3 linked regions of the Lepisosteus oculatus genome follow. The protein of the gene in region 3 interacts with the protein of the main gene of each other region in a pairwise test. Links are inferred from orthologs where the notes say so. Each region holds a gene or a part of one and is shown on either strand. Other genes may lie near its edges.

Region 1 (6,849 bases), on a different chromosome or scaffold from region 3:
TCTGCAAAGATCATGGCGAAGTTGTTGCAGAACGCCACCATGAAGACCTGGAAGAAGTTCATGGTCACGAAGAGCTGGAAGTCCCTCTGGTTCAGGATCTGCCAGGTCAGGGAGCAGACCGAGGCCAGGGACAGGGCGGCGCCCCCCGGAGGCTGCTCCTCCGCTTGGCCCCCCCGCCCCGCGTAGCGGCTCTCGCTGTGGAGGCCCGTGTAGAGCATGCAGCCGCACGCCAGCGCCGCGGCTGCGACGGTGAAGGCCTGGAACGCAGGGAAGTTATCCATGTTCCCAGACATCAGCCCACAGAACAGCACGCTGGAGGAGCCCAGCAGGGACGCCACCTGGTTGTACTTGATGAGCTTCAGCCTGCTCTCGTGCTGGACAGATATTTCGGCAAAGAGGGCGCACTGGGCCAGGAGCACGAAGGTCAGCATGCCGTCAAAGGCACACAGCGCCACGATCAGGTGCACACCGCTCAGCCAGTCCCCCGCCGCGTAGGGGCGCCACGGGAACCAGGCCAGCAGGAAGGCCAGGGCGTAGAAGGGCGCCCCATACAGGACGGCCAGCCGGCGGCGGGAGCAGCAGGGCATCCCGGAGTTGTCCTGGACGTAACCGAACAGGGGGTCGTTCACGGCGTTCCAGACCATGTAGATCACCTGCAGCAGAGCGCACGGGACGAGGAAGGGACACTTCAAGCTGCGCGCAGGAGGAGAGTCAGTCACTACATTACTCACACTCAGACCAACGAGATGGGCCAGACCATCCCCTCTCAGTTCCCTCGCCCTCTTCAGAAAACACAGCAGAATCCACAATAACTATGAGCCTTCATCTAGTGATAATAATAACAATAAACTTTATACTGTATAGCACCTTTAAAAGTGGCTTCTCAATGTGCAGAATTACACAACTGCACTAAGGGTTTGGAATACAGCAGGGAAGCAAAGGGGCAGACAGAGAGCCAGTTCAATAAAAGCCCTTCTGAAGAAGGCTTTGAGTCTTGATCTGAGTGTTCAGGGAAGGTGACTCTCGGATGTCCTTTGGGACAGATTTCCAGAGCTTTGGGATGCAGCAGGAGAAGGCCCTGTCACCCAAAGAGGGTAGATGGGCTGATGGGACGAACAGCAGACCGGAATTAGACAGTATGAGCTGTGATGTGATTTTTATTAAGAAATGTTACGCTGGGGAAAGGTGGTACACAGGCGGCTAAATCCTGCAGCTCTTACTCGAATGGGGTGGGTCTTCATCATGCGCGTTTGGAGACGCGCACTGAGAAAAAAGAGCGGACTGTTCTGGAACAGGAGACTGGGCAGACTGGCACGCCGTGCTCTTTATTTTCTCAAAAGCGCACTCTGTTTCCTGAGGCAGAGGAACAAGTTTAAGTTCTGCCCTGGCTTGTTAATTAACCTAAAGGTGCCTTGTGTTCCTTCTCTGCTGCCCTGGATACAGCACACAATGAAATCCTCTCAGCACTCACTGAAAAAGCGCAGGAGCTATTTTAAGGACGCCAACAGCTAAGGACCTACATAGCACAACACTGAACTAACCTAATCACCTTTGATGTCATGTTTCTAATCCATGGGAGGCCGATTCTCTGCTGTCGTGAGGCACAAAACACCCACCATGCCAGTAAGACTCATGGGGACGAGTCTCAGGAGGAGGAGAGTTACATGAATAAGGGTATCTGTAGCATCTCGCACTTCCTCAGTGGGGAGAGTACGGACAGACCTCTGTGTCTAGGGAATACACAAACCTGACACCACAGGGATCTGATCAGCTGCTCCCGAAGGCCACAAGCAGGATGTTCAGAGAGACACAGACAAACAGACAAACAATCAGAAGGAATGCTAAAGGAGGAAACAGCCCAGGAAGACATAAGGAGTTGCATGAATTCATAACTTTCAATCTCTGTGTTCTCTCTTTCCTTGTTCAGAACCCCCAGGCACAAATTCCCATGGTATAATTAACCTATAGGTTCAGACTGTTCAACTACAGAGTGTTTTTTTTTAAAACCAAAACTTCCATATTATACTACTATAAACATATATAGTTCCATTTTTCCAAATCCTGTTTAGTTGTAGTAGTTTTTTCCTAAACCCTTTAGTTGTAGTAAACGGAGATGGTCACAGAGATGTTTCATCTCCTTCAAGCAGGTGCCTCGTCGCTCGGACTGGCAGGGCATTTACCTTCCACCCCTTATGTCCTGCAGGGACTTGAAGATCCCGCCAGCAGAAAACATCTATAAACTCTGAATCGGGGCTTTGAAGAGCAGGGGCAGTGACCTCACACTGCAGACTCAGAGTTCATCTCCCCACCAGCCAGGTGACAATGCTAGCCTACAGTACAGCATATGTGAGTACTGATTTTTTCATGCAAGAAGACAACTCGAGGTCAGCGAGGGCTAAAGGGCTACAGCACGCTACCCTGCTCTGGGGGTGCGACTTGCGTGGAAAAGCCCCGTGGGTCAGCACTCGCCTGCGCCTGGTGAAACGCCGACTCCGAGATCTGGAACTTGTCCAGGAACAGCTTGACGTAGTAGAAGCTGAAGATGCTGTTCATCATGCCGGCGCCCAGCGTGGTCATGGAGTAGGCCAGCGCGCCCGGGTGGACCCCGAGTCTCGCCAGGAGCCGCATACCGGCCGCCCTTCCGCCCCCGCGAGAGCCCTGAGCGGGGTTCCCCGGAGCGGCGCGCGCCCTGGCGCGGGTGCTCATCCACGCGTGACGCCTTCCCGCACGCCGGACCGTGAGCTATCGAGGGCTAGCGCGGCTAATAACAGACAAACAATGAATTAATACGGGGGTATTTAAGTGCGATCTCATAATACAGCTAACGAAACAGGGAAAGAGTGATAGGGTTTTAGTTAAGCACAACCAGTCATTAAGTTCAAGGAACAGGATTCCCGAAACAAGTCAGGCTGGTTTGTGGGCATTGCAGGAATTGTCAGTTTTGCCATTAAAGCCAGGCTGACAACACAACATGCTGTGCCCCAGAAGCTGTGAAATGAGCTGTATAAAACTGAAAGATCCGGCACTCCTACTCTTAAGAATATACTATCATGCACAATATAAAAACCCCATTGCATTCACCTCATTGAGAGGTGCGAATCACGGTAAACACCACAGTAAATTATTGTCACTGTACTCCCTCGGCTACATATAAACAGATTTTCCCTGGGCTGTGGTTTGTCAGTGTATTTTTCTCTAACATATATAACAAATATATATTTCTCTAACATAAACGAGGTTTAAAAGCATTTTACAAACCAACAAACACTAGCAGTAAACAGTAACTGGCACTTTGAAACCCCGCCCCTCTTGTCAATCGATTCCTTTGATACATTTCTGCGTTTTTATGACAAATATTTAAGAAAAAAACCACAATTTCTGAAACCGAGCTTCCTTTGCGTCGACGGTTATAACTCATTAGTTGTGAAAAGACACAAAACAACTACAACGGAAGTTCTTCACAAAAAGACTTTCAAACCACTGCTATTGTTTTCAGAAAAAAAACATGCAGTTTCATGGGTCGTAAAGTCTAAGGTTCTAGCAATGGCGACTCCTGCAGTGGCTCTCTTGCGCACACTCCTATTTTCTCCTCTTTGATCAAAGGTTAATTAAAAATGAATGAGTTAAAACTGAACCTACGATTTCTCGATATCCTCGCAGCCAGCTCAGCTGTGTGCGCGCGCGGAGCCCGCGTATCGCGGAAGTGGGCGGGGCACCCCCCACCACCTGAGACCCTCCCCCTGCCTGCGGTGATTGGACGCTGCCCGGCGTTCCGGACCCGCCTCCCCGGCGTTTCAATGCGCCCCCTCCAAGCGATCAAGTGACGTCGGCTCCCATTGACACGCCCGCTCCTGACGTCGCCGCGGCGCAGGGGTTGGGTGCCACGTTGCTGCAGCCCGTGCGAGCCGCTGGAGGCTCCAGAGCGTCGCGAGCTCAGTCGCCGGCGAGCGTGCTGGTGTGTGTGTGTGTGTTGCACCCAGGAGCAGGAGCTGCCCGCTCTTCCGAGACAGAGGAAAAAAGGACGGGACAGAACTGCCCAGCGGAGGACAAGAGTCCCCAGAGTCGTCGTCCTCCCCACCCCGGCCGCGAACATGCTGACCGATATGATGGTGGAGGAAGAGTTCGAGATCAAGGAGGAGGAGCCGTGGTATGACCACCGGGACCTGGAGCACGGTAGGGCTGGGGCATTTAAACTCCTCTTCAGTGGTGCTGAAGAGAGCCGAGCCAGGTAGCGGCGCCGGGGCTCACCCATCGCCCGGGGCTGTGCGCTCAGCGGGCAGCGGGGGAGATGCGTCCCAGAAACAAGCCTCTAAGGGCGACGTGCGCGTTTCTGTTGTATGATTAGTGTCGCCTGTCAAAACGTTGGTTTACAACCGAGCCGCCCATTTGAAAGCGAGTCCCCATCCCCAAAAAATCTCATGCAGCGTCTACATTGTTTCGTAAAACTGTCCTCACGTTTTTGTTTTGCGTTCCCGGGGATGCATTTCCCTTGTAAGAAATGAACACTGATTTTTAGTTACAGATCGATGTAAAAGAAGATGTTAAAAGCAAGTATATATATACATGTCATGCTTGCTTTAACCTAACGCGGTTAAACCGCAGTGCTGCGGACGGTCGGGGGTTTAAAAACTCCACGACAGTGTTGTGTTTTAGCAGTAATGTTCTGCTATTTTTTTCCGACCCGGCGTGAAAATGTTCGTTGCCGGGGGTGTGATTTAGAATTGAATGTGAATTGCAGCATAATCTGGGAAACGCTGAGTCGCGTCGGCGGATCTCGCACAAAGCCCTTTTTGTCGATAAATTCGGCCACATTCGCAAGCCGCTCGTCTCCCGTGAGAAGTGGGAGCTGTTCGCCTGGTCACTTCTTCCCCGCAGCTACTGCAGCTCAGAGAGGAAGCAGCCTTATCTGACTCCTTTGTCATCGCGATTTCAACAGCAGCAAAGCCAAGCTAGACTGGACCGCCCAAGTGCTCGAAAAAGCAATGACATGCTCGGAAGGCATTAATAGGAGCATGCACTGAGCTGCCGAGAGCAGTGACTTCTTCCTTGCACGTTGTTTTTGTAAGGAAGGATGTCGTTGACTAGCCGCGAGAAATGGTCAGAGCTCTTCAAAATATAACCGAGTTTAAGGCTTTTCGATGAACAGAAATTCACCGCAAACACAAGTGTTGCATCGATGTGTCGCTCGGCTCCCAGTTGAGATAGCTGCGGTTTCCCTGTGAATTTGCGCTCGCATTTCCTGGATCAAGAAATTAACCCATTGGAAACAAGGCAGCTTTCTGACGCAGATGCAGCTTTTAGCATCCCCCGAGATAAGAATGTTTACGACCAATGTGCACCCATTTAATGAACTAATTTATAACCTCACGACATGCAAAAATAATTGAGGATATATTTCTCTGTGCTCCCCCTGACCTGCTGTGCGGTGAGGGTGCTGTGTGCTGCACCTCACGAGCAGCGAAGTGGGTCCCCTCCTGTATACAAAGCGCTCGGGGATCCTTTGAAGAGCACTATACAAGTGCAAGGAAATATTATAGATTCGTGACCTTCTCTTTACGTTACAGTTACTTGGGCAGCACAGTTCTGGGTTCTTGACATGTTCGGCTTCAAACGTCTCACTGTGTTTCCAAGTTATTTTGCTGGGAGGTAATGAAATCGGTGTTTTTGTGCTGTAGGCTGTAATCATTTGCAGTGTTGGGTTTTTTTAACGCAAGGAGAAGCTGCTCTCTCACCTTTTCCAGTTTAGGGTGTAAAACAGTATCGAACTGCAAGTCACTTCCAGACCACTAAAAACCTCAGCAACAATTCTGTTTGCCACTTCATCTCAATACATTCACTTTTGTCTGCCTGATACTAGTTCCGTCAGACTTCAGAAGACCTGGGCTAACCATTGTTGCTCACTTTATGCTTCCACATTCAATAAGTAGAAATGTGGCTTTGTCTCTAAAATGCCTCACAGATATTGTTTGCACCTCTGGGATTCTGACTCGAGAAGTAAATTGTAGAGGGTGAATTTCCGAGTGCGTTTCTCCTGAGTGTCAATGGTGGATGCTCAAGGCAAAGGCGATCAGACGGTTGAGTTTTCGAGCCTCAGGCAGACCCCTGTGTGTGAGCCAGCGCCACTTAAACGAGGCTCTTTGTGAAACGATGAGCTGGCAGAAAACGGATTGCAGGTCCTGAGCAATGCAAGATATTGCACCTCTACTTAGGAAGATGGGCAAACTAGACACAGGCCAGTTTCCCTCTCAACACTGTGTAACTGCAAAACCGCATTTCTTAATTGTCAGGTCTGGCTGGCTCTGTAGCGACCCTACTGGACTAACACCCCAAGATGATTTAACTACCAAAAATAAAAAAGTAAGACACAACCTAGAATTAAAGAGAGAGACCATAAATAGGCATTATAGACGTCAGCTACTACTTAGTTGTAAGACGGAGAGTACCCTGCTTTCACACTCTGGAGGTATATTTCTCCACACCTTATGAATACAACACCCAGTGGAAAAAGAACTTGAGGTCACTTAAATGGACAATGCAAACGAAGTGTGGACAGGTTCCCTAGCTATGACACTTATTTTAAATATAGATTTTTCTCCATTTGCAATGTAACAGGCGCTGTGTGCCGCCGGCACAGATAGTCTGCAGAAATCAGAATTGCAGGATTTGCTTCATGTATCTAATAACCTTTTGCACAGAGAAAGTGCAGGTTTATACTGCTGCAGGTCATGAATCCCAAAGCAGATGAGCAGTGAGAAGGGTTTTCAAGGCGTAAGGAAACGCAGGCAGGAAAGGACATGTTCACAAGGAAGGAATCTGCCATCTGTGATACGAGCCCCCAGAACCCCCAGC
Region 2 (7,419 bases), on a different chromosome or scaffold from region 3:
TGCATATAATGATTATTAAAAGTGTCTCAAGCACTCCTCTCTCGAAATTGCTTTTTAATTACACAGGCGCGAGTGCAGTACTGCTGAGCTAATGACGTAACCTACCTGTCTATCAAGGAGAAAAATAGTTTAACTAAATTGATGAGTTTTAAGGAGAAATTGTCGGGAAATACATGTACACGTAAGAAGAACAAAATATATTTAACAAAGGTTGAAATGCATCATAAAAATGCATAATTGAAAATAATCTTAATGCCAGTCTTGTGCAGAGGGGGTGATTGGTTTGTGACTGGACCGGCCCGATCTCTCGCAGGGCACAGCTGTTGTGAGATACTCTCCCTGTGTGTCTGCGTGTATGCCTGAGTTAGTGTGTCGCTCTGTGTCTGTGAGTCTGTGTCCTTGTGTTTATTTGTCGATCTGTGTGTGTGGGTTTCTTTATTTGGCTGCCCATGTGTGCCGACGGTCACATTCGTGTGTGTTCTGGGTGTGTACTAGTGCATTTGTGTCCCTGGGTGTGTCCAAGTGTGTGTGGATTTTTGTGTCCCCAGAGTTGCTGCTTGTTTGCATGTGTGTCCCTCTGTCTCTCTCTCGGGAGCAGGCAGTGTCTCTGAGCTGCTGTTCTCCTGCACGAGGCTCTGCGCAGCTCGACTGCTCTGGCAGTGTCTCTGAGCTGCTGTTCTCCTGCACGAGGCTCTGCGCAGCTCGACTGCTCTGGCAGTGTCTCTGAGCTGCTGGTCTCCTGCACGAGGTTCTGCGCAGCTGGACTGCACTGACAGTGTGTCGCTGAGCTGCTGTTTTCCTGCACGAGGCTCTGCGCAGCTGGACTGCTCTGACAGTCTCTCTGAGCTGCTGTTCTCCTGCACGAGGCTCTGCGCAGCTGGACTGCTCTTACAGTGTGTCTCTGAGCTGCTGTTCTCCTGCACGAGGCTCTGCGCAGCTGGACTGCTCTGGCAGTGTCTCTCTGAGCTGCTGTTTTCCTGCACGAGGCTCTGCGCAGCTGGACTGCTCTGGCAGTGTGTCTCTGAGCTGCTGTTCTCCTGCACGAGGCTCTGCGCAGCTCGACTGCTCTGGCAGTGTCTCTGAGCTGCTGGTCTCCTGCACGAGGTTCTGCGCAGCTGGACTGCACTGACAGTGTGTCGCTGAGCTGCTGTTCTCCTGCACGAGGCTCTGCGCAGCTGGACTGCTCTGACAGTCTCTCTGAGCTGCTGTTCTCCTGCACGAGGCTCTGCGCAGCTGGACTGCTCTGGCAGTGTGTCTCTGAGCTGCTGTTCTCCTGCACGAGGCTCTGCGCAGCTGGACTGCTCTGGCAGTGTGTCTCTGAGCTGCTGTTCTCCTGCACGAGGCTCTGCGCAGCTGGCCTGCTCTGACAGTCTCTCTCTGAGCTGCCGTTCTCCTGCACGAGGCTCTGCGCAGCTGGACTGCTCTGACAGGGTGTCTCTGAGCTGCTGTTCTCCTGCACGAGGCTCTGCGCAGCTGGACTGCTCTGACAGTGTCTCTGAGCTGCTATTCTCCTGCACGAGGCTCTGCGCAGCTGGACTGCTCTGACAGGGTGTCTCTGAGCTGCTATTCTCCTGCACGAGGCTCTGCGCAGCTGGACTGTTCCAGTGTTGCAGACAGCACTCGATTTGGTTACAAAGTAAACCTGACTGTCCTGATGGGCGTCCTGTTTTATCCTTGGCGTGTGGCTGTGGAGGAGATCAGGCGGCTGTGAAGGGCTCTCCTGCCGCAGGGTCACGCGATGCTGAGGCACCTTCACAAGAAAAGTAAGCTGTCCCCGGTGTGGAGCACAGGCGTGTGGCTGGGGCGTTCTCACCAGGAGCCGGGCACGTCGCTCACTCTGGCGCTCTGCCTGAATTACTCCATGTGTTTGGCACGGGGCCTGTGTCGCGGACAGGAGGACTTGAGCGGATGTGCTCGTCTCTGTCAGTCTCGGGTCAGGCAGGGGGAGGGGTTGAGGGTCCGGTCCGGTCCGGGCTGGGTATGGAGGTGTTGGGGTTCCTCCAGAAGTGCCCCCAGGGCTGGGCTTTCATTGTAATTGTTCATTGTGCTGGTGACAGCGATCCTGTCTGACTGGTTTTGAATCTGTTTGTTGTTGTGTATTGTGGGTTTGGATTTTCCTGTTTGCTTTCTGAAGATCGTGTGCTGTAGTAAAGGAGAACGATGATGTTATGTGGTTAAGAGCTTAGATGATGGAAAACTGTGGCCTGTAAGGAGAGGTCCTGTACGGCCCTGAGCTACCAGTCACAGCACAGGTGAGATGTTCCTGCTTATAGCCTGTGTCCTGGGCACTGTGCCTCCTGTATATTGATCTCCTGTGTGTGTAGAGAGTGGTGCCTGTGTCCTGGGCACTGTGCCTCCTGTATATTGATCTCCTGTGTGTGTAGAGAGTGGTGCCTGTGTCCTGGGCACTGTGCCTCCTGTATATTGATCTCCTGTGTGTGTAGAGAGTGGTGCCTGTGTCCTGGGCACTGTGCCGCCTGTATATTGATCTCCAGTGTGTGTAGAGAGTGGTGCCTGTGTCCTGGGGACTGTGCTGCCTGTATATTGATCTCCTGTGTGTGTAAGGAGTGGTGCCTGTGTCCTGGGGACTGTGCCGCCTGTATATTGATCTCCTGTGTGTGTAAGGAGTGGTGCCTGTGTCCTGGGGACTGTGCCGCCTGTATATTGATCTCCTGTGTGTGTAAGGAGTGGTGCCTGTGTCCTGGGCACTGTGCTTCCTGTATATTGATCTCCAGTGTGTGTAGAGAGTGGTGCCTGTGTCCTGGGCACTGTGCCGCCTGTATATTGATCTCCTGTGTGTGTAAGGAGTGGTGCCTGTGTCCTGGGCACTGTGCCGCCTGTATATTGATCTCCTGTGTGTGTAAGGAGTGGTGCCTGTGTCCTGGGCACTGTGCCGCCTGTATATTGATCTCCAGTGTGTGTAGAGAGTGGTGCCTGTGTCCTGGGCACTGTGCCGCCTGTCTATTGATCTCCAGTGTGTGTAGAGAGTGGTGCCTGTGTCCTGGGCACTGTGCCGCCTGTCTATTGATCTCCTGTGTGTGTAGAGAGTGGTGCCTGTGTCCTGGGCACTGTGCCGCCTGTATATTGATCTCCAGTGTGTGTAGAGAGTGGTGCCTGTGTCCTGGGGACTGTGCTGCCTGTATATTGATCTCCTGTGTGTGTAAGGAGTGGTGCCTGTGTCCTGGGGACTGTGCCGCCTGTATATTGATCTCCTGTGTGTGTAAGGAGTGGTGCCTGTGTCCTGGGGACTGTGCCGCCTGTATATTGATCTCCTGTGTGTGTAAGGAGTGGTGCCTGTGTCCTGGGCACTGTGCTTCCTGTATATTGATCTCCAGTGTGTGTAGAGAGTGGTGCCTGTGTCCTGGGCACTGTGCCGCCTGTATATTGATCTCCTGTGTGTGTAAGGAGTGGTGCCTGTGTCCTGGGCACTGTGCCGCCTGTATATTGATCTCCTGTGTGTGTAAGGAGTGGTGCCTGTGTCCTGGGCACTGTGCCGCCTGTATATTGATCTCCAGTGTGTGTAGAGAGTGGTGCCTGTGTCCTGGGCACTGTGCCGCCTGTCTATTGATCTCCAGTGTGTGTAGAGAGTGGTGCCTGTGTCCTGGGCACTGTGCCGCCTGTCTATTGATCTCCTGTGTGTGTAGAGAGTGGTGCCTGTGTCCTGGGCACTGTGCCGCCTGTCTATTGATCTCCTGTGTGTGTAGAGAGTGGTGCCTGTGTCCTGGGCACTGTGCCGCCTGTCTATTGATCTCCTGTGTGTGTAAGGAGTGGTGCCTGTGTCCTGGGCACTGTGCCGCCTGTATATTGATCTCCAGTGTGTGTAGAGAGTGGTGCCTGTGTCCTGGGCACTGTGCCGCCTGTATATTGATCTCCTGTGTGTGTGTAGAGAGTGGTGCCTGTGTCCTGGGCACTGTGCCTCCTGTATATCGATCTCCTGTGTGTGTAAGGAGTGGTGCCTGTGTCCTGGGCACTGTGCTGCCTGTATATTGATCTCCTGTGTGTGTAGAGAGTGGTGCCTGTGTCCTGGGCACTGTGCCTCCTGTATATCGATCTCCTGTGTGTGTAAGGAGTGGTGCCTGTGTCCTGGGCACTGTGCCTCCTGTATATCGATCTCCTGTGTGTGTAAGGAGTGGTGCCTGTGTCCGGGGCACTGTGCCGCCTGTATATTGATCTCCAGTGTGTGTAGAGAGTGGTGCCTGTGTCCTGGGCACTGTGCCGCCTGTATATTGATCTCCAGTGTGTGTAGAGAGTGGTGCCTGTGTCCTGGGCACTGTGCCGCCTGTCTATTGATCTCCAGTGTGTGTGGAGAGTGGTGCCTGTGTCCTGGGCACTGTAAAATGAGTGTATTTTTAGCTCGGCTCACATGCCTGACCTTTTGCTAGAGATGGCAGGAGCTAGTGTCTTGCACACTACAGTCCGGACACTGCCCCCCCTGTACGAGCAGCGAGCGTGCCCCCCGCCTCAGGGGCTCAGTGCCAGTGCTCTGCGTCTGTGGCCAGGCCTGTGCGTGTGCTGTGGTGCACAGACGTGTAGATTGACAGGAGAATGTGACGAGGGAGTGGGACGGCCGGCGCAGGCTGCCTGAGCTGTAAATAGCCAGCCCGCTGGCTGGGGATCACAGTGGAGCAGGAGAGAGAGGAGGTGCTGTCCCGTTTTCCGCCTCTCCCTGTTCTGGTCACTTGGCATGGGGGACCCAGCGGCCACTCCTGAACTCTCCCCGGGCGACGGTGACCGTGAGTGAGACTCCCGCTTGTCTCTGCCTGTGTCTGTTGCCCCTCACCCTGCCTCCTCCCCCTGTCCTCTCTCTGACCCGCTCGTCCTGCCCGGTGCTGTTGTCTGCTCTCTGCTGCCGGGACGCTCTCTTCTCTGGGCGGTGCTTTACCCGTGTCATTGTGGGATAGCTGTCGGCGCCTCGCTGTGGTGTTGCTCCCGGGGCAGCCTGGCAGAGGTGTGTGTCGAGCCCTGCTCGTGTCAGACGGAGACCAAGGCCTCCTGAGGCTCCCGAAGTTCCCCACAGTGCTCTGGGGGATCCGGGGTGCTGGGAGGTGCCCAGATTGGTCTGCTCACAAAACCCCGTTTCGCCTGGTGGCTGGCCTTGCCCCGCCAGGTAAATAAGCACTGTGCGGTTATTGCGCTGAGGGGGGCCCGACTCTGGGGGCGCTCTGCCCGTCTTAAGCCCTGAGCGTCCTGCCCTGCCGGTCGCGGGCCGGTGACTGTAATATATTCAATTCAATTCAAGGTGCTTTATTAGCATGACCAATGGGTACAATCAGTGTTGCCAAAGCAAATAAAATAAAATTAACATGGAACAAGACAAAAAATAGAAGTAAAATAAAATATATCTGCGTCTGTGGAGTGTGTGTGCTGCAGGATTTGTGTATCTTTGTGCTGGTCTCTGACAGTGAAGTGCTTTACGATGGGGGCTGTCCTCCCCCCCCCTCCTCCTCCTCTCTCTCGTCCTTCTCCTGCACCCTCCCCTCTCGCAGGCCAGGTGACCGCGCAGCTGTTCGCAGACTGTGGAAGAACAGGAGGAGCGGCGGGACTCTGGGATCAAGACAGCTCTGTCTGCTGATCCGTCAGCTAATATTGACATAACCGGAACGATAGAGAAGCGGAGCCCTGTGTTAAACTTCCTCTCCCTCGCTCTCTCATTCCTTCTCTCGGGCTCAGAGAGCTGTACTGGCATGACCTGGACTGTGTTCCCCCCGGTCGTCCCCTCCTGGCGTGGGGCCCCGAGCGTCCCGCCGGTCGCTCTGCGAGGACTCCAGTTTGTCCTGCTTCGTGTGCTGCAGGAACAGGGCGCATCCCTCCTGAGTGAGGGGGCCGGGACTGCTGCTGCTGCTGCCCGGGAGCCCTGTCATGATCACGTCGCTCTCATGTCAAGAGGGGAGCTGCCCTGCCCTGGCCTGGCCTGGCCTGCTGGCACTGCCTCGGAGTTGTGGGAAGCGCAGGGCTCAAGGCTGGGTGTTGTGTCAGGGGTCCCGTGTTGAGTTAGGGGTGATGTTGTCCAGTGACTGCGAGCCACGCTGGTGTTCGCTTTGAGATGGGAGGTGCGCCCCCTGCTGTTGGCGTGTGGAGTATGGATGTCAGGAGCCCCGTTGCACCCCAAGATTTAAACCATCGCTCGCGTTACGATGTTTATATTGTTACAAAACTGGTGAAAATCAGGAATTGACCGAGCGGTGAAATAATTATTTATAATCCCCGACTTGTAAGTGATTTCTGTATGCGAGCGGCCGGTACAACCAGAGGCACGTGAATTCTTCCATCTCTGACACAGCTTTGTCGAGGAGTAATAATCCAGAGACACTTGGTTTAAACAAATATTTATTGCAATAACCTACACGAGACACAAAACATACAACACGCCAAGTTACATTCTATTGTTACGGGTGGGGCTGGACAGATATTTTCAAACAATGACACAACACACAACAGAACATGTTGCTTTAAACACATTCTTTACAGACAAGGCGTTTCAGAGGCCAAACATTCTGGTCACCCAGAAAACCCCAGACCGCTACTAAGCACTAAGCACCTGTCGAGGCCACACAAGAGATGAGCTGCCTTCTAACTAAATACAGAGCAACCTGCGGTTAAACCTATCTCTCTCTGTGGATGCCCCAAAATAAATAGGAGCCTATATCCATATCCATAAAATGCCCCCTTATCAGGAAAGATGTTTCTAACTGAGGTATCTTTTACCCAGGAAACCCAAGTTCCCTAAAAAATACAGAATAGCACGTTCTAACAGGGTTCAAATACTTCGCTCCAGTCAGGTTTGATTTGGATGATCATGAAGTAGGGGCTCTCGCCTGGCGCAAGCCTCAAGTTCCAGCTCCTCTCTCTTCTCTCTGCTCCCCTTGTTTCTCCTCTTCCCCCTGTTCTTCTCTCTCCTCCTGTGCTCTTAAGGTGAACAGATACTGTGTCTTTCTGCCCTGCTCCTTTGCGATCATTAATCCACAACTTGCCTAGGAATACCAAGATCACCTTTACTATTGTTTCTGCTCAAGGGACCCCCAGTCGTCGGCAAACATCCTCTCTCCTTTGGAGTTAGATGTGTTTACTCTTCCCAATGTCTAAAACCTTATCTAAAATCTGAGAGAGACTTCTCAAGTCACCCAAAGCTGTAACGGTATATAACCTGTCTGAGCGTCCCAGTGCGTCTGTGTGTCCCCCAGTGTGGTTCAGTGAGTCCCCAGTGGGATAGTGTATACCCCAACGTGTCCCAGTGTCCCCCCCCAGTGGGTACAGTGTCCTCAAGTGAGGTTCAGTGTCCCCGTGTCCCTCTCAGGTGCTGTGAGGAAGATGACAAGGGAAGATGTCCGGGATCCGTCGTCGGAGGGAGACTCTGCCCTGGACAGACTCAGCAGCTCGCCCCCTGGCACAGACAGGCCCACTGTTCACCAGGTGGCATCC
Region 3 (7,062 bases):
CCGTTTGTCACTTTTTGAATCATTGAGTGGACAAGCTGGTGGGAAATCATGAGCTTCATCATAAGAAATGATGAGAAAGGGGTTGAAAGCACAGCAGAAGTTGATCAAAGGAGTCTGTGGACTGCCCCATGACTTGAGAAACACAATCTCATCAACTGCGTCGCGGCACTTGAAATCTGTAGAGTTAATGAAGTCGCTCGCTGTGGAAGCCATTAGTGCAAGTGATGTTGTAGCCTTCAGTGTCTCATGGCTCTCAACAAAGCTTAGCACTGGGAGATATTTAACGAGGACCAGGCGTGTCAGATCAGCTTAACTGGCAGGAATCGAGGTGACAATCTAAGTGTGGAGTGAGGGCAGGTGCACAGTGTGACGTAGTCATGTTCTGGCAGTTTGGAGGTGATAGTTTTCAAAATATGTTTTCAGCATTGTAGTCTGGGCTAATAAGCAAATGTCAAAACTTAAAAAAAAAGTTGAGTGTCCTCATTCTCGTCTGCAAAAAAATGACCTGAACAATACATGCACTATTCAGGCAATATAGAGAATTCATGTGGAAGATTGACCTGACACCCTGTATTCAAATGTCTGCTGTCTCCATCAATGGGCACAGCACAGAGGCTTCGTGAGATGTAAATAAGGGTCTAAACCATGATGTGTGTAAAAATAAGTTAATTTATTTTGAGACCTAATTATTTCCCCAAATGGCCAAGAATGTATGGAAATACTGGTTAAACTCAAAAGGAGTGACATCAAAAACAGCCATTTTTTCATGATTTCTTATGAATCATTAGTGAATGAAGTGCCTCCCGTTCAGCACAGAAATGCAAGGAAAGTGTCCTTTGTGGTTCTTTCTCGATCTGTTACTCAAAGGACAGCAAAGTCATTCCTTATTTTCTTAAAGCGGTGGAAGAGCTCGTTCCCGCCCGCGCTCCGCCCCATGCTGTCAGAGTCGGTGCTTGTGAATGGGAGGGTGAGGAAGAAAGCAAAGCGACCTGTTTGATCCCGGCTATTGACTTGCTGAACCATGTGACTGCGAGGCGTTCGGACTCGAGCTCTCCACGTGATCTCCGCTGCTCATTCGGCAGTCCTGCAGTGCGAGGGTCGTGTTCCTCCCACTCTCTAGCCGGAGGAAGTATTTAAGAAAAGAAGAGCCACACAAACGGCCTTTTCCTGCGATTTGCCGCAACGTGCTGCGGAGAACGGGAAATAAGGCACATCTTAACGTCAAGACACAATTTCAGTTTTATGATGCTTCCTTTGGATGGTTTTTGAAGCATCTGGCATTCAGCTTGTTTGCATTTACAAAGTTTAAGTATCAGCTCTATGGCTGTGCAGTTCGTTGCTCATTTCCCTGAAGTGCCCTTTACACTAGAGTTAATAACAGTCCATTATTTGTACTCAACGAATGTGTTTTTGCGATTACCTTCATTATAGTAGTCTGACTGATACGGTTGTTTTTGTAAGCAGCAGTCTGTGCTGTGCTGTGCTCATTATGTTTGCAGATGCAGGGAAGGTTAAGCCAGTCTGCATAGTTGGTTTTTATGCATCATTTTCTCCAGCCATTAATCAAGGATATTTCATGGTGGCGTCAGGCAAGGTTATTTTTGCAGGATGTTATGGCTACAGAAAACCCCTCAGAGTCCAAATCACCAATAGTTCAGTATGACCTTCTAAATTGCTATAAACCGCGTCGCTCTTTGAAAAGTCTTGGATAATTGAGGCCGGTGGTGAGGTCCGTTGACTAAAAATAGAACGTTATTGAGGTCGCGTCGCACTCGGAGATAACCAGCAGGTGGCGATGTTGCTACTATTCTGACTTCCTAGCAACCCTGTAAATACAATACAACATTACATTCCTCAGACGGCTTGCTCCAACTGCATTTGTTGCTACGATATAATATTAATAAAAACACAAACCTTGAAACAAAGTAAAATCCATTTTTGTGAATGATCTGCTGCTCTTGTATGCACAACAGCCTGTTGTACAGCTGCAATTCACAAAGCGAGCGGATCATACTTAAATTGGGCGGCATACAGTACATTATAAAACAAAAGAGGCTTTGAAATATAACAGTTACTGCCGTTAGTGGCATTTTGTAGTTCATTTGAGCCTGTTTTCCATTTCTGCTTTGCTGTGTCAAACTATAAAAAAATAAGTGTAATGAAAACAACACGAATTGCCTATTTGGTACATTAAGTCATAGCTGTGGGTTTCCTGTGAAGTGTTGTAATTAGCTAAGCTACGGCTTTATGTCTGCAATTACGTAATATTGTCTGTGTGAGTGTGTGTGACATAAGCATCATTTTCCCTAGTTCTCCGTTTCTATAATAGAAAGCTGTTAATTATAAAGCTCCCCTGAAGGGAAGAGCAGAGGCATGCTTGAGGATTTAAAGCAGTAGTTTACACTGTCTTCTGCTCTCAATTAGTGTGTGGCCGTATCTTACAAGATCAGACCTGCTCTTACAGAATCCTCCCTCATGAAGTTGGGAGCCCTGGAGAAGTGCAGTCAGGTCTGCAGTGGCAGCAAGCGGTTGAGTCTCCCGCACCCCTTTAAGACAAACCGTGGTCTTCTCTCCTGGGCCTGTGCCACATGCGAGTCAGCGCCTGTGTGCCTGTGCGCCCAGCGATGAGCCCTGGTCTCCAGCGTTCACAAGCCCCTGTGATTTGGGCTTCCAGTCCGCCCTGTGATGTGGTCTGTGCTGTAGCACTTTAAATCCGCCGTCGAGTGGAGATGTAATTACGGCCTGTGATTTGTTTATTTTTCTTCTTTTTCTTCCTTCAATTAAATGCCAAAATGTGCCCAGAATAGCTCTTCTGTGGAAGAGAAGGGTGTGTGTGAGGCAAGGGGAGGGTTTGGGAAGAGATTAAGAAAGCAGTGATTTCAAAATCTGCTCCTCTTGCTGGTATGTAAATATAAAGAAGTGGCTCAGGTTGCCAGGGAGACACGCTTCCACATGGAAATCTTGTTAGATTCACAAACCTTTGCTTATTTTCTCGTAGCAAGCTTTTCTGCAGTTGAATAGAGGTAGTTTAGCACATCGACAGAGAATTGGAACCTTTACCCGCTGGGAAGGTTACACTGGGAAGGTCATGCACTTCTGCTGCCTGAATGTAAGAGAGTCTACTTTATTGAGTCACATTTGTATCTGTGGCATTTAGTTCAGCCTCTTGTGTGCTTTCAAAGTGCAGTTACCAGGCGTTACAGCAGGGGGCAGCTTTTAGAGAAAGCTACAAAAATCCTCTTGCAGCTTGTAAGATTGTTACAGAGTCCATTGTGTAGCAGGTAAGCTGCTTAGCTACAGTGCTTTCATCTTCTTAGTACATCCCGTCCAGGATGTGTCTGAACTCGTTACGGAGGATTTATGTGGGTAGTGGAAAATCGATTTTACTGCATGGATTTTGATTGATTTGAACATGGGCAGCTGATGGTTCAGACTTGAAAATCCACTTGGAAATCTTGTTTGGTTCACAAACCTTTGTTTATCTTCTCAGACCTTTTTATATTAATATACATTTTACATTTCCTTGGTCCTCAAATCTACCCTGCTGTACTCTAAACTGCAGGATAGTATGTTAAAAAGTTAGCTGGGTCATGAGCAAAGATAGTTATCAATAGCGTTCTGGTCTGAAAATGTAAGGCCATTTGCACCCTCTATCCATTTCTGTGGCTGAGACATAACCATTAGTACCCTAGACATGTTACAAAATTAAAGAAAAAGTCAAATGTTCTGTTGTTGACTAACTTTTAGTTAGACATTTTCAGTTGCTGTAATTCCATTTTACAGTTTAACGGGAGATATAACCGTTTTTATGCAAATCCTGGAAAGACCCATAAATGTCTAAACTGTAACAAAATATTTTTGTGCTAAATTAACAGCCACTACAGTTCTCAAAGCACAAGAGTGTAAGTTTCCCATGCAGGGTCACACACACAATGTCTGCTCACACAATGAATGAGGTCATTCTCCAGGCGGCAACCAATCAGAAGCCTGATCCCTGTCTTCAATGTCTGAATTTGAGACAAGGGAAGCCACAGCAGATTTTTTTGCAAATGCAAATAAATGTGACATCAGTGTCCACTGCCCCATGCCTGCGCTTATCCCTGCAGCAGATGGACAAAGGACTTAGAGGGAAGGACTGTTGGGGATTCGAATGCAGAGTGAGATGATATTTGCCTTGGTGACACCCTCGGGCAGCAGATAGAGAATGAACTGAGGCTTTCTGATGAGCAAGTGAGCAAAGAAACGGCTCTCTGTCGTCACAACATTTTCAAGTATTTTGTGAGGCAGGACAAGTGGACAAACCGGTCGGAGAAACATTTCCCGGGCCGGTTTAGAAAAGGCAACAGGGTGCAAAACAAAAAAACTTATCAGCTGAATAACATACCGAGAAAAAACAACAGGGAGGTACAAAAGCGTGGGGAATATTTTTTTTCAAGTTTTCAAAGAGCACATTTTTTCGAGCACATTTTTTCTTGACGTTTATCTTGCCTTTTTTCATGAGCCATCGCAGCTGGAAATAACACGACTTCAGGTGTGTTATTTCTGCCTCAGACATCAGTGATTATGGTGATACCAGCAGCAGGTTCAATCTGAGAAACATTTTTTTCTTCTGGGTGTGTGTTGCCGTGCACACATCTTATCAGTGGAATACCTTCTTTATGATTGTGTTTACGTGTTGAATCGAAAGCCTGGAGTTACGAGTGCCCTGACCTTAACAAGCTGAAGCGATATGGGCTTAGGAGTGGCGCCCAGGGAGTCGGGACTCTGGACAGACTCATGGCTTTTCTCCAGGGCTGGATCGATGCTGGCAGCTGTTGAACACTGGATCAGTGGAAACACAGGGCCATTAGGAGACAGGATTGGAGCTCCTGTTTGAATCTGGAGTGTTTTGCTGAATATATCATTTCTTGCAATTTGCTTAATGCTTTACACCTAGGAAGGGTCCCAATTCTTTCACCATAAAAATACTTCTCCTTCTTGGGAATGCAAGCTGTCGCCATCCTGTATCAGTGGCCCTACAACACACTTGGGTAACAGGAACACGGGGAGCCGTCCAAACTCCCTTCTGGACCTTCTTGGTTTCCTGCTGGTGCTGAATCTCAGAGCTGTGAGTGAATCCACAGGGACTTGTTGGGTAACTTGCGCTGGCTGTGCAGCCAGATCCTTATTGTATTTGGTGGATCCATGGTGAAGAAATGAGACCAAGAAGTCTGTGATGGTAAAAATCAACATGGTGGTGCTTAAGAAAATCTGTCTTCTGCTTCCATGACTTCTTGAAACGTGAACATCGTTCACTGGGCTAAACACCTCCGAACTGGTTGACTGGACAGATTTTTGCGAGGAAAGTCATTGGTACCTGCATGTTCTTTATTGGGACCACGCTCGGAAGACTTCAGATTCAATCTCTGGACTTCACTGTAAGCAAATTCCCAAATGAAGAATTGTATCTTGGCAAACACAGTATCGCCCATGGGTGTGATATGGGTGCATTTGTTGAAAACACTTTCATTAGATTACTTCCTGCTAATTTGTTTATACTGCTGGGGTTGGAGAGCTTACTGATTAGCCTTTGAGTAAAACATGCAAATCAGGAGGAGGGTATAATTTTCCATAGTTCAGAGACCGAAGATCACAGATATATCGGAGACGATGACTGTTGATCTCAAAATCTGGAAGAAACAGTTTGCTTGAAGACACTCTTAAATTATTGTGAGCCTTTGAAAAAGAAAAAAGCATTTGGATTGATCAGCCTGGAAGAATTTCTGAAGCTGTGAACTCCTCTCATGTAAGATACTGGGTATAGGGAGCAAAACTCTGGACTGAGCTCCAGACCAGTTCTGGGTTTTCTTGGCTGCTGCGTTGGGACCTGCACCCTTTCACTGCGGACACCGTCCTGACAACAGCCTTGCCTTTCGGATTTGGTGACCTAAGAGCTTTCTGCCTGCTTCCCTCCCCAGTAGTATCCAGTAACTGTGATATCGGAGCAGGCAATCTGCCCTGTCTCTTTTTAGGGGTGCAATGTATGTCCTGTGCACTCTGGTGGTGCTGTCTTTGCACAGCCTGTTCAAGGGGCGAAAAAGAGGCTCAGAAGTGGAGAAAGTGAAGCATTCCGACAGGGAGAGAAACTCGCCCAGAGACTGCTGCACGGACAACCACAGCCCAGGATATGAAGCCCAGAGCCTGTGCACCAAGAGTAACAGAACCACTTTGAGCAACATGCCTGGCTGCTGCTACAGTACCTGGGCACAGGTGAGAATCCATCTTGCTTACAGCACAGAATAACCTGGCTACTGTGCAGACTGTACAATATTCATTTTCCTTTCTCTGTCTTTTGGGGGGTATTGGTTACCTCTTCCATCTCTCTGTTTTTGTGCATTTCCCTTTATTGGTCAAACATGTTTTATAGCGTCACAAATTACTTGTAGATTGTTTTTGTATACTCATTTGTTTCAGCGTCTAAGTAAATAAACTACTCGACACGGAAATTCCTATTTATGGAGAAAGAAATGAAAGGTGCACAGTGCTCCATCTGTTTTATGCAGGATTCATTTAAGGGATTATTTGCAAGCGAAGTCATTTTTTAATTAAATGTTGTTGTTGTTTTGTTTCTGGGCAGGTACTGTAGAATGGGCTAAAAAACAAAACCCTTGTTTTTTAAAAAGTACAGGAGGCCTGTTTATTCTACCCTTGAAGGAAAATTAACTTAATGAGTGTAAAATCTGAATTGCAGACAGTAACTTCACACCCTGACATATCTGGGTGTAGTGTCCAGGAGCAAGCAAGAATCTCCGTGCATAATTCTTAAACGTTAGTGCTGGTGCTGTCAGAGTGGGAGTCTGCAGCTCTACTGTTTGCAATCATCTGCAAGTGCATGAGCTTTTTTTGCCTTTGAGGATTTGTTTAGGGTTTGTTTCAGCCTTTGCCAGCTAAATTGAGCTCGAATCCTTTTCAGATGCTGATATGCAAATACAGCTTGTAAATTCACCAAGGGAAAGTTGGGGGTTGACTGTGGGCTAAGGGGCAGTCTCGCAATAGGCAAAATTCTCAAATACTCAAAATGAG

What was found. The genes of interacting proteins can lie anywhere in the genome.
Region 1: the proteins of kifc3 (region 3) and cerebellar degeneration-related protein 2 interact in binary tests that used the Homo sapiens proteins (3 or more experiments, as listed by UniProt). The two-hybrid records come from large-scale screens. The link is inferred for Lepisosteus oculatus from reciprocal best matches to the Homo sapiens genes KIFC3 and CDR2.
Region 2: the proteins of kifc3 (region 3) and CAP-Gly domain-containing linker protein 4 interact in binary tests that used the Homo sapiens proteins (3 or more experiments, as listed by UniProt). The two-hybrid records come from large-scale screens. The link is inferred for Lepisosteus oculatus from reciprocal best matches to the Homo sapiens genes KIFC3 and CLIP4.

The regions. Positions count from the first base shown.
Region 1 is NC_090714.1:16,649,081-16,655,929, reverse strand, and holds the start of cerebellar degeneration-related protein 2, read left to right. Parts: upstream 1-3,840; 5' UTR 3,841-4,091; coding exon 4,092-4,173; intron 4,174-6,849. Other genes in the region: mfsd13al (transmembrane protein 180-like), read right to left, coding at 1-653, 2,470-2,706.
Region 2 is NC_090697.1:29,363,867-29,371,285, reverse strand, and holds the start of CAP-Gly domain-containing linker protein 4, read left to right. Parts: upstream 1-4,410; 5' UTR 4,411-4,684; coding exon 4,685-4,733; intron 4,734-7,294; coding exon 7,295-7,419.
Region 3 is NC_090715.1:4,618,861-4,625,922, reverse strand, and holds the start of kifc3 (kinesin-like protein KIFC3), read left to right. Parts: upstream 1-4,046; 5' UTR 4,047-6,018; coding exon 6,019-6,249; intron 6,250-7,062. UniProt on the Homo sapiens protein: Minus-end microtubule-dependent motor protein. Involved in apically targeted transport. Required for zonula adherens maintenance.